Linked DNA regions of Arabidopsis thaliana. The protein of the gene in region 1 interacts with the protein of each later gene in a pairwise test. Each region holds a gene or a part of one and is shown on either strand. Other genes may lie near its edges.

Evidence for each region.
Region 2: the proteins of JAZ6 (region 1) and NINJA interact in binary tests that used the Arabidopsis thaliana proteins (3 or more experiments, as listed by UniProt).

Annotation. Positions count from the first base shown.
Region 1 is NC_003070.9:27,272,237-27,279,498, forward strand, and holds JAZ6 (jasmonate-zim-domain protein 6), read right to left. Parts: upstream 4,327-7,262; 5' UTR 3,901-4,326; coding exon 3,747-3,900; intron 3,432-3,746; coding exon 3,308-3,431; intron 3,156-3,307; coding exon 2,829-3,155; coding exon of another isoform or gene 2,825-2,828; exon of another isoform or gene 2,305-2,824; coding exon 2,100-2,304; 3' UTR 1,732-2,099; downstream 1-1,731. Other genes in the region: EDA25 (CCAAT-binding factor), read right to left, coding at 65-140, 266-385, 481-553, 643-1,360. UniProt on the Arabidopsis thaliana protein: Repressor of jasmonate responses.
Region 2 is NC_003075.7:14,262,393-14,268,328, reverse strand, and holds NINJA (Putative interactor of JAZ), read left to right. Parts: upstream 1-1,542; 5' UTR 1,543-1,793; intron 1,794-2,184; exon of another isoform or gene 2,185-2,223; 5' UTR 2,224-2,306; intron 2,307-2,571; 5' UTR 2,572-2,648; coding exon 2,649-3,540; intron 3,541-3,613; coding exon 3,614-3,999; 3' UTR 4,000-4,295; downstream 4,296-5,936. UniProt on the Arabidopsis thaliana protein: Acts as a transcriptional repressor. Negative regulator of jasmonate responses. Connects the JAZ proteins and the non-JAZ protein TIFY8 with the TOPLESS corepressors.

The DNA.
Region 1 (7,262 bases):
CAAAACCTGGAGACCAGTGCTACTAAACAAGCTAGCACGAGCAGAGTGGTGATAGGATATATACCTTTAAAGCCTTGTCCTTCAGCTCTGGAAGCATATCTTTAGATGATTCATCAAGGGCTGTGACGAAGCGCTCATACCTACAAAGTCAGCATGCTAAGCTGTTAAACGAATCATCGACCCAGAACAATTACGGATAGAAGACACAGATCTTTGACATAGTGTGATTAAACACATCCCTCATGGCATGATTTGAGATCTTTACCTCTGTTTCAAGCAATCCTCCCAGTACCAAAACAGCAAAAGCGAGTAACCATCCTTATTTTCCGGAATGATGTTTAAAGGTCGCTGTAAAAGTGACTTCAGCTTGCGATCAGGTAATAACCTGAAGAAAGAATTTAAAAAACCTCAGTCAATGAGAAAAAGATGCAAGACTGACACATAAATCCATAGCTCATTGTGTGAGTAAGAAAAATGTGCCTGATCAAAATTTCTGATAGAGCCTTAAGACCCTTAAATGCAAATCTTTTTCCAACCTTTGAGGTCACCATTCCTGCAATGAACAGAGTAGATAATGTGAACAAGACATCAACAAAATGCTACAGAGGATTTCACCATTGAAAAACAAAACCAGAAACATACCCAATAAGGCATCAAGAGATCTCATATTTGCAATGGGATTCTCTCCAACCATAATCTCAAAGGCAGTGATTTTATCAGCAACTGTCCCAGACTTTTGAGCAGAAATCACCATCTTCATATCTCCACCTTTTCCTTTCGAAGTTGCAAAGTCCTCTGCGTATTGCCACATCAATCTCTCTCCTAATTCTCTCTTCTTCTCCACCACACCCTTAAAATCCTCCTTATTCGCCACCGCCACTTTCCGGCCACCAAACACCTTCTCCTCAAACTCAGCTGCATCGTTGTACCATTCAGAGCTCAATAAACTCGCTTTCACCAATGGTAACTTAGGCAAACTCTTGAATTCATCGAAACGTTTTTTCTTGTACCCAGTACTCTCATCATCAATCGATAAGAATCCAGGCTTTGGCTTCGGTTGTAACGTTTGCTTCACCGGTGCATCTTTGTTTTGCTTCCTCGCTCCAAAATCTTTTCCCTTTTCATTCCCAATGTTCGATTTTGGCTCTCCTTCTTCATCTTCATCCTTGTGTTGCTGATCCTTCTTAGGCTTTTTCCGTTTCTGGGTTTTGGATTTAGCTGGTTTTCGGAAATCAGTGTCGTTGAAACCCGAAGAAGGAAGAGCAGAAGCTAAGCCAATAGAAGAAGCGAATGATGCGATATCAGATGTGAGAAGACTCAAGTCCTGCGATGATTTACTCAAAGGCTTTATCTTTGACATTTTTTCTCAAAGCATATGAAGAGGGTTAAGAGAGTTTTGTGAGAGATGACTGTTTTTAAAAGAACTGAGACAGTTAGGTTTAAGCAATCTCTGTGCTTTGAGATCGAACAATGAAAAAGAAAGATAAACTTCAATGTTTGGGGTTCAACAGAAATTTTTAGGGTTTTAGAAAACGGCAAGAGAGAAGCAGACAGAGGAAATGGTAGAAGGCTAATTTCGTAATTACGGGATAAGACAAGGGCAAAACAGACTTAACGACCTAAAATCAATGAGACGATGTTTTTTCATTAAGGTTGGGTTCCTGAGACGGTCCAGCCCAATCGCTAGAACATTCAATGCAAATCCATAACTGGTGAGATTTCGATCATGTGGTAAAATATTATACTAATATCTTTGATAGAAACATTATATGTATATCTTTGAAACCTATTATAGGTTAATATACTTTTGCCACTTAGAAAAATTACTAACAACGCAAATCCATCACTGGTGAGATTATATCAGGTGATTAAAAAATTTCGATAAAGGGTAATCCAGATGACAATTTTAATTAAAGAATCTAAAAAACAAGTATCAAAATATGTATGTTTTGAAATATAAATACTAGCTACGTAATACAGTACTATAAATAACTTAAATTGGTCAAAAGTAATGGAAGAAAATATAAAAGGGTATTTGGGTTCAAATCCTAAATAAGTGAAAACTAGAAACGTGAACTCGATCGTGCATTTTATACGCCCTAAAGCTTGAGTTCAAGGTTTTTGGAAGATTGTCCTTCTTTCTTGTCCACCTCCATCGGCATATGGTTATGGGCCTTTGGTTTTGGAGGAGTTGCAATGTGTTGCGACGATTGGCCTGACTTTATCGATGGAGCAACCATCTCTGGCTTGGGAGGAAGATGACTACCGTGTTGGTTCACTTGATATGGAGCTCTAGCCACAGCCCTGAAATCAAAACAATTAATCAACATTTAAGACAAAGTAGATATTGAAGTTTTGATTTACAAAGAACTCTTAGTTAGTGTTTTTTAACTAGAAATTTCTCGACATTTTACTAATAATTTTCCTAGATCAAGGACACATAGATGATGGACTCATATCTCTTATATACTACTCTAGGTCCCATCTCGAATTTCATTGTAACTTGTAAGATTTTTTACATGTTCTTTATAAATGATGACACTTGAGTCACATCTCGAAATCTTACTCTAGGAATCATAATTCATAAACATACTAGGACCACCCTATGTTCAATTTCATGAATGTTCAACTTAAACTTGATTGGTAATACGCTTCTAATCCGATGTGGGATTCCTAGAATAACTCGAATAAGTCTTAATATGGTAATTATTAGCTATTTTTACATATAACTTTTTTAAGAAACTTTGATCCTAATCTATGCATACATTTTGACGAGCGGCCTAGAAAAAGCATAACCAAGCACAAAACAGTTTCGGAGTTTAGTTTACCTGTCTTTTCGTTTAGCAAAGAATCGATGAAGAGAAGCTCTTCTTGCAATGCGTTCCACAACCTGATGTTGCTGCCCAGTTTCTTGATCTTCATTGTTCCCGGAACTCGTTGGCTCGTTAAGATCGGGAATCACCACGTTGCTTTTGTCAAGATTCATGTGACTCTGACTGTTCTTAGAATCAACAGCAACATGATTCGCTTCTTTAGCTACTTCCATTATCTCCTTAGCTTTGTCTTCAGGAAACTCGTTGAAAACCATAACTTTTCCTCCAAAGAATATGGTCAACTGTGAATTTCCAGACTCCGGTGCTACTTTTGCCGGTTCACTAAAATCAAATCAAACCCATTTTTACAATTAGTCAAACTCCATAGTCCATACATCTATAACCGGTAGTTCTTTCTCTAATTCAATTGCTACAAAATGTGAAAACAAACACTTTAGGAGTTCGAATACATATGAAGTTTGTGTGTACAGTACCTGAGATCAATATATATGGCTTTGTCTTCGGTAGAAGTAGAGGCCTCACCAATAGAAAACTTCTGAATCAACTTGAACGGTCTAGTTTCTGAGGTCTCTACCTTCTTAATCACATTTTGTTGTCCTAAAACAAATTAGAACAGAAATTGCAAACCGATTAAAATTTATCAAAATCAAATTACATGTTTATTACGTTTTTTAAAAAACTTCACAGAATCTCTAACTTTAATATACTTAAGCTGTCCAAAATAATACCATGCTTAAGTTTAAAGAAAAGAAAAGAAAAAAATGATTTAAAATTTTGCATTTCAACAAAAAAAATATATAGTTAAACTTTATGCTAATAATCAACGAAGCAGGATACTAAAAGTATATGATATAAACTTTGGTCTTTATAGGCGGCGGCCGTCGGAATAGATAGGGAAAAATAAATAAATACCTTTGAGATCGAATTTTCCGGCGAGTTCAAGATCGGATTTTCGAGCCAACCCCATATTAATATTCCCAAAACTTCCCTTCTCCTTCAAGTACCGGCTGAGCAGACTACATCTCTGAGAAAAATTGGACTTCTCCGGCGCTTGTCCCGTTGACATACTAGTGTGATGAAGATTACAACAACCCAAGATTTTCTTGTGTGACTTCTTTACACGTACAAAAAATCGAGGATTCCAAAGAGTATGTAGATGTTTTGAGCTTTTTGCTCATGTGTTGTTGTTATAAATAACCAATTCTAGCCAATAAGTTTCTGTGGCTTTTAACCTCTCCCGAATAAATAAAGAAAACGAAATAACGTGTTCTTTTTTTTTATTTAGTCTGAAGTGACAGTGATGTGTGTCCAATATAGAATGTTTTTGTCACGAGTTTTGTAACTTTTTTTTTTACACCTAACTGATCGATAGACATTTTTTTTTTTTTTTTGAACACAAAACTGATCAATAGACTAAACACACATTTTTCTTATGATGGTTCAAGAAGAAGAAATTCTTTTTATGGTCAAACATATTATAGGCTATTAATTTCCTATATCCTCAAATGTTTTGTCACGAATAGAAATAGGGAAATAAATTATATGCGGAAAAAATGATTTATTCCTATGGTTGATTACAAAAATCAAACTACAATGTTCGTTACAAGTTCCGGCACGTTTTCATTGCACAAGCCGTGAAGAAACTGTTGTAAGTTGACGGCGACATTACATAAAGGCGTTAACCCATTTAATTCATTCGGGTCCCAAGAGTTTCTGTTAAATACTAATTTACCCTTCTGAGGTAATTCGTTTAGTGGTGGTTAGGATATTCGTTATTAAAGGGCGTAAATGAGGGCATTTGCAAACGCTATAGTCTAACGGAGTTCTGACGGAGTTAAGTCTCGCGTCGGCTGCGATGGCTAATACGAATTTAATATGTGGGATCCATTAGCAACAGTACGACTTGTGAGTGGATATTTATCGATGAATGGTGTCAATTACTTATCCCCGACAAAGTTTAAGGACACGTGAAGTATTGTTATGTGCGTTTAGGATGTCAACACGTGTCGGAATCTTGGCGGTACCAACCTTATTTCATGCATGATTTGCGTTTTTTTTCCCTCTTTGCTAAAGGATATTATAGCGTTCATACTTCATAGGCCTAATTTTCTTTTCTGTTTTTAATTACAAAAACTGAGTGTAATTAATATTAGAATTTGTGGTTTTGTATGTTGGTAAAAGGTTAACGATTTCTGTTTAGTCCTAATATGAATTTTGTTACTTGCTCAGTTAAATATTATTTCTATAACAATAATAATAATAAAATCTTTTAATCGTTTTGTTCAATGAAGTCGAGCGTTGAATTTTATTTGAATAAGAGGCAATGCCAAAGAGTACCAAAAAAGAATTTAAAACAAAATGTCGTAGACGATCGCGCCAAGGGAAAAAATCATTTTTATTGAATTATTTATCGCAACTTGCAAAATGAGAACATAATACTTTGAACTTTGAAGACTCTTCAATATCATATGATTTCAAGAGTTGAACAACAACTTGAGTCTAATATATACACATGTATGTGTGTATTTAATTACACAATATAGATCCATTGTCATTTTCTAATACATACAAAAGACCAAATAATATTCGCTATTTCACATGAAGATTATCTACATTGTTGGAAGCGCAAGTTGGGTTTCGATCACATATTTGATCATGTCCAAAATAAGGGAATGTCATATTCTAACAGATTTGATATGCAAAAATCAAGATTGTGAGAAGATTCTACTAAGACTACCAAACCAACGTTAACGGCAAAAAAGAAAAGGCAACGGCGAAACCTTCCGGTCACCACTCGAAGTTGGACTCTCCTTTAAGCAATAGAGTATATCAACATTTATCAAATAAATAGTTGTTGTTTTGAGACCTAAGTTCATATATGGACATAATCAAGATGGTGTCAACAGTTTTGGGTTAGGTGTGCTTCAGACTTAATCTTTGAGCTGGGTAAGATTTCCTTTCTATCTAGTGTTACGAGCTAGCGTGTCTCTGTAACAGGTTGTCTTCGGGTAAGTTTGGTCTTGCAGCTTGAGCTTGTGGTGGGAATTCTCTGTACAGTCGTTATCTTCATAAATAAAATGGTACTTATCAGAAAATAAAATAAAATTAGAAGACAATATTGAAAGATTATACAACTCATTTGCATTGACGTATGACAATACTAAACATAAAATTTGTTTAAAATTTAGGGGTAACGACTACGAATGTAGGTCCGTTTTACAACAATGACTAAAACAAATTGGTTCTTTGACACCGACAGATACTTTGGATGTGAACACCAAAATGTTGCAGCTTCTTCACATGCTCCTCTTGTACTATGACAATAACATATGTGCCTAAAGATTATCGCATATTAATAAGTATCCATTACATGCGGAACAGGAATAACATTTTTTCAACAATTGCATAATTGAAACCGGATAGAAATACAACAAGGACACTAAGTCAAATCATTAGAATACATGTCATGGTCTACAGAAAATTAATAGATTAGACAAATATTTTGTTTAGTTGCATATAATATCATGAGTAATTGAGTATTAGAGTATTTTACTCATGATACATAAGAAACTTATAACTATTCTTTCGATATTCTCATATTTGGAAATAGTTAGGAACTGTAAAAGCTAAAACTGATTGATGATTACATTTGGTGGCGTCAATTTGTTTTACATTTATCAAATTTCTTTCTTTTTTCGGCATAGGGATACATTTTTTGTCATGCTATAGTGAGTAAATTAGAAATCCGACATAACTAAGCATCAGGAGGAAAATCCAAATGATGAAGTGGTCCACTTAAAAGGTCACGTTAGCTAGAACTGAACCAAATGTTGTACGAGTTTTAAGATTATATGCTCTTGGTCCTAATGCCAAAACCATTTGTTTTTCCCATAAAATTTATTTACATGCGTTATCTTGTAGTATGGCAAAATTTGGAGTATCACTTAATAGTTTTCACACGTAACACGTAAAAAATATAGTTTTGATAGTTGGTTTTACAACACTTTTACTTGATAGTTGTTCTTACAACACTTATACTTGTAATTAAGTCACTTCTACGGTTTAAAAATTATTTATAGAAACGATAATCAACTTTGTCCAAGTTTGGGCTTGGAAACTAAAATCAACATTATTCATATGGGCCAACCAAAAATGCATATCTTTAGCTTATTTTTTATTCGCTCTTGCTTTTCTCAATCTTCTTGACTCTTTCAACGAACATTCGCGCCATAAGCTCCTAAGTTCCTCTCATCCAATGGATCACAAATGACAAAGAAAAACAAAAGACAGAGAAAACAGAGACAAAGCGAGAAACAAGACAAGGAATACAGAAAAATTAGTAAATCGAATCACCAAAAAAAAAAAAAAAACTACTTTGATTAATCAAAAAAAAAAAAGAGTTGCTTGAAACTCCCGGCGGCCTAGCTC
Region 2 (5,936 bases), on another chromosome or scaffold:
ACTGTGAATCTGTGATTACTTGTTCTCAATGCAATAACTACAAGTCTCTTCTTCTTCCTCTTTTTAAAGCTTGTCTTCTACTTGTGATTACTTGTTCTGAATATTGTGATATCAATCAAGACAAGTATGAAATCACCAAGAGCTCTAAGAATATATTTTTTTCTATCATTTTATTCCTTGGATTTTTGAAGAGTAACAAAACATATATGATTTTCATGAGAAGTTGAAGCTGAGAGAATAATATTTAGAGTTGTATTATCGTGAATTGTTGGTAACGATGATGGAGGCTCCTGGGACTAGGGTTGGGAGATGGGAGTTCACTTCTATTGAGAGCAAGTCGGTGAGGAGGAGTTTCTTTGAAACAATGTGATAGGCGGCGGCGATTTTGTATGTGGGAGACGGTGAGGGGTCTTCTTCACCGTCTCACGGTGGATAGCCACAACATCATCAACGTAGACATTAGGTTGAAAAATTCGACATCTTATGGTATTTAATATGACGATTAAAAAGAGAGAAACAAGTCTATTTATCCTTTGAATTGTTAATGATCCTTTTTAATTTATTTTTCAAACTTATAAAACTATGAATAATAGCATCAGAAATAATAAAAAAAAAACCATGTAACTTTATTGCTTATGAGTCAATCAAAGTATATATTTATTCATGTTGTAGCTTTTCAATATTATTAACCATGTTTGTTTTCATTATTTTATTTTTACATAAGTAACATATTTTCATGCCATTAAAATTTTACAACATAAGATAATTTTATTTTATAATATTCAAATTTCCAATTTCCAATTTCCTCTTTAGTCTTAAGTCTTAACATGTCAATTTTTGTATTAAAAAAAAAACATGTCAATTTTTTGTACAAAAAAAATAAAACCATGTCAATTTAGGAGGAAAAAAAACTGGAAAAGCCTGACAAAGAAAAAAAAGCTGGAAATATCAAAAATAAAATGATAACGTCGCCTGAGAGATTCGAACTCTCGCGGGGAAACCCCATGTACTTAGCAGGCACACGCCTTAACCACTCGGCCAAAGCGACTTTATTGATCATGAATCAATCTAAAATATATATATATATAAACCTATCGTTTTGAATTTTTTTTTTTGGCAAACAGCTTTTGATACTATTATATATATATATATATATATTATCCCCACATATCTTTAGCTATGTCTTTTTCGAAGGAAATTTTGAAGTATTAAATTAAGTGACGATTTACACACATATGGAGTAATTAAATCGTTTTAGCATATCTTGTAATGTTGTCTCTCTTATCCAACTATTCTAAAGAAAGTGGTGACTAGAAAATATAGATTATATACTATGTGACCAACTTTTTAGTATATCTTTATAAAAACGCATAAGATATGTCATATGTGTTTCCTCTAAAACTTGTTAAAGAAATGAAAAATCTGTTGGTAGATGTGAATAGTTATGGACTAGTTTGGCTTTAAAAAGAAAATTGGGCCCATGTATTTCTATTCATGCATTGGACATGTACAATGTACAAATATATTCATGATTGCAAACATGTAGTATATATGCTGACTATACGATTGTTATTTATTCAAAAGTTAAGAAAATGCACAAGATACACATGGACGAAATCGAAACTAATTGTACAATAAAATAATAATTATTAGTATTACGAAGGGAAAAGGGAAATGGTCCGTACTAGTTGTCCGAACCCGAAGAAGCCCCAATCGCTGATGCAACTGTCTAGGAGCCGCCACGCTGCGAAGAAGCTCTAGGGTTTGTTCGTCTTCTTCCTCGGTTTCATCAGGTTTTCATCTTCTCGATTCTGATTTCGGCTTCTGTTTTAGCTTTATTCGGCTTATTGTGATTTAATTTGAGCTGATTTGGCATTATTGCTGTGTAGTTAGGGGTCAGGGTTTTAATCTGATCGCGTCTAGGTTATGATTCTTTTGATGATTTCGATCTTTAGAAAGTCAATTGATTTGTTTCTTCGTATGTAGCTCGTTTAGCTGACAGATCTGCATAGTGTCTTATCAGTTACTAGATCTTTGTGCTATCTCTCACTCTGATTTCTGGATTTTGATTCCTTTTTTTTTTTTGTTAGCTGACATACAAGTGTGAGTGATGTGTGTCTTTGCTTTGTTTCCATTTTAGTTTAGTTTCTCAAAATGGAAATGATGAATATTGGGGGTTTTCAGAACCTAAGTTGTAGAAATGGTCTTTTTTTGTTATCACAGAACTCAAAAGGTACTTGGTAGGAGCGAGAAGAAAGTTTCTGGAGAATTGCTGAATTGTTTCTTTCAATGGTTTTGTTTCTAAGGTACTATCCGAGTCCAATGTTTCTGAGAGTTCTGGTAGCTTGTTAATTTGTTATACTGAATACTAGGATTGATTTTGGCAAAGCATGTGATGTTTGTTGCAAGTTCAAGCAGATGTGTTTCTTTTTATAAATTTAGAAGAAGTTTACTTCCGCAGCCATCTATGATTCTCAAAGTTCTTAGCTTTGCGTTTGATTCTTTTTTCTAGAAACCATTGGTTAGCTTTGGATAATGAGTCCTTTTCTGCCCATGATGTATTTTTCTCAGATGGTAATCAAGATTGTTGACGGTGCTCTGAAGATCTGTTGACCTGCTCAGAGTTTGCTTAAAAAGTTTGAGAAAAAATGGACGATGATAATGGGCTCGAGCTCAGCTTGGGTCTTTCTTGTGGAGGATCAACAGGAAAAGCTAAGGGTAACAATAATAATAATGCTGGAAGCTCCTCAGAGAACTACAGGGCAGAAGGAGGCGATAGAAGTGCTAAAGTGATTGATGACTTTAAGAACTTCCTGCATCCAACTTCTCAAAGACCTGCAGAGCCGAGTTCTGGTTCTCAGAGAAGTGATTCGGGTCAACAGCCTCCACAAAATTTCTTCAATGACCTCTCAAAAGCTCCTACAACTGAGGCTGAAGCTTCTACGAAACCTTTGTGGGTGGAGGATGAGTCACGGAAAGAAGCAGGGAACAAAAGAAAGTTCGGGTTCCCGGGGATGAATGATGATAAGAAAAAAGAGAAGGACTCGTCTCATGTTGATATGCATGAGAAGAAGACAAAAGCATCCCATGTTTCAACTGCGACAGATGAAGGATCAACAGCTGAAAACGAAGATGTAGCAGAGTCTGAAGTAGGTGGTGGTTCTTCTTCCAACCACGCAAAGGAGGTGGTTCGTCCTCCTACTGATACAAACATTGTGGACAACTTAACTGGTCAAAGGAGGAGCAACCATGGTGGATCTGGCACTGAAGAGTTTACAATGCGCAACATGAGTTACACCGTACCTTTCACAGTTCATCCGCAAAATGTCGTCACTAGTATGCCTTACTCTTTACCGACAAAAGAGTCTGGACAACACGCAGCAGCTACAAGTCTATTGCAGCCTAATGCTAATGCTGGAAATCTCCCGATTATGTTCGGATACTCACCAGTCCAGCTCCCTATGCTAGATAAGGACGGTTCAGGAGGGATTGTCGCACTTTCTCAATCTCCATTTGCTGGAAGAGTTCCATCAAACTCAGGTAAGCAAAACCTTCCCTTAAAACACGATTTAGTACTCTTACAGCAAAAATAGTAACTTTTCCTTCCAAAAAGCTACTGCAAAAGGCGAAGGCAAACAACCTGTTGCAGAAGAAGGTTCATCCGAGGATGCATCAGAACGACCAACGGGAGACAACAGCAACCTCAATACCGCTTTCTCTTTCGACTTTTCTGCCATAAAACCTGGAATGGCAGCAGATGTGAAGTTTGGAGGATCCGGGGCACGTCCCAACTTACCGTGGGTCTCAACCACTGGTTCAGGCCCACACGGACGGACAATCTCAGGTGTCACATACCGGTACAACGCAAACCAGATCAAAATCGTATGCGCTTGCCACGGCTCGCACATGTCACCGGAGGAGTTTGTACGGCACGCAAGCGAGGAGTACGTTAGCCCAGAATCATCCATGGGAATGACTGCAGCGTCAGCTCACACCTGAAAAGTCACCACCGGAAAAAAAGATGTCTGAAATCTTGTAAACAAATGGAAGGGTTTGTAATGAGTTTCTTTTTGGAACATACATTTTATTATGTTTAGTCGGATCAAACTCTCAAGCCAAAGTTTTTTAACTGAGCTTTCTGTTATGTTGTTGTAATCTCTCTACTTCATCACAATTCCTTATGTAATCCTCTTCTTTCCTTTTTGTTTTTTGGTTGAAAGGAAATTATATATAACCATAACATTATCGGTGTCCTTTGTTCCTTTGGTTAAAATCTAAACAACTATTTTGGTAAAATAATTCACTTTGATTTTGACTACTATGTAACGACAGCAAAACCTTCAATTATGTAATGTCATGTCAAAACCTGATACCATTGATACGGTTGGTTGTACAGAAAACCTGCAAGAATAATGTCAAACTCTTACTTAATAGTTAATAAATTGATAATGTTGTGGTTAAATTCTATAACAAAGAAGTAATTGAAAGACTAAAATAGTGAAAGTATTGATAAAACGATGATGAAGAGAAATCTCTTTATTGAATATTTCAGCTTAAGGTTTACAATGACAGAGAAGGGTTTATATATGAACCCCAAAATGGTGAGACACTAGGTCACACGTCATTAGCTGCACATCACGACAGAGGAACAAAGAGGATCAAATTTGTTATGAAGGGACAAATGATTAGCTGTGAATCCCGTACGTTGATGCGCTGGAAATTGAGGAATCTTGTTACCGTTGCAAGGTAGAGAAGACTTGAGGTTGATGGGCTTGACACTTTGACTGAGGCCCAAAGTATTGTTGAGTGTTGCAGGTCCATTCGCAGAAAGCAAAGCTTCTGATTGTAGAGGAGGTTCTCTCTGATTCACACACCCCCTCAAACTTGGTGTGGGAGGTAAAACAACGCCAAGTTTGTACCTTAAGTCAAAGAATGGACGTTGGGGAAGAGACTTGGTGAAGATGTCTGCAAGTTGATGAGAAGCAGGGACATGTTTGACAACCAAAGCTCCCAAGGCAACACGTTCTCGAACATAGTGAAAATCAACATCAAAGGCCTTAGACCGGTTGTGCATTGCTGGATTTGCAGTGAGGTAGACAGCAGAGAGGTTGTCACAGTACAACTCCGGTGGTGCAGGTTGATAGATGCCTATTTCACGAAGCAAAGATGAGATCCACTTCACTTCTGTAGCTGCGATAGAGAGGGTCCTATACTCAGCTTCTGTTGAGGACCTTGAGACTGTTGGATGACGTTTTGCAGACCAACTGATTATGTTAGTGCCAAGAAAAGTGCAGAAACCACCAACAGATCTTCTAGTCTCTTTGCAGTTTGCCCAGTCACTATCACTATAAGCACGCAAAGTGATATCCGTGTTGTTGTGTAAGTTGAGACCCATTTGAACTTTTCCTTTGAGATAGCGTAAGACTCTTTTGAGGAGATTGAAATCAGCAACTGTGGGGGAATGCATCTTTTGACACACAAGATTGACTGCAAATTGAATGTCAGGACGAGTAAGAGTAAGATATTGTAACTTACCAGCCAAGCTCCGAAAATAAGTAGGATCAGCAAAGCTTTCTTGTTGACCAGGAACTTTATCCAATTGAAGAGGCAAAGGGGTTGGCATTGGGGCACAATCTGCCATTCCTGCTGCAACAAGGAGATCCATAGCATATTTCTCTTGATGCAAGAACAACCCTTCTCAGTGAAAATGAGCCTGAATTCCGAGAAAGTAATGCAGCATTCCCATGTCTTTCATGCGGACTCTTTATTCAGAGAGACAAGCAGTGTGTCCAACAGTTCACTATTGTTGCCTGTGAGAAGCATGTCGTCCATATAGAGCAAGAGGAACATGAGATCTCTTCCTTTCAGAAACACAAACAGAGAAGGATCTGAATAGGTACAGATGAAACCAAACTCCAAGAGAAAAGTACTGAACT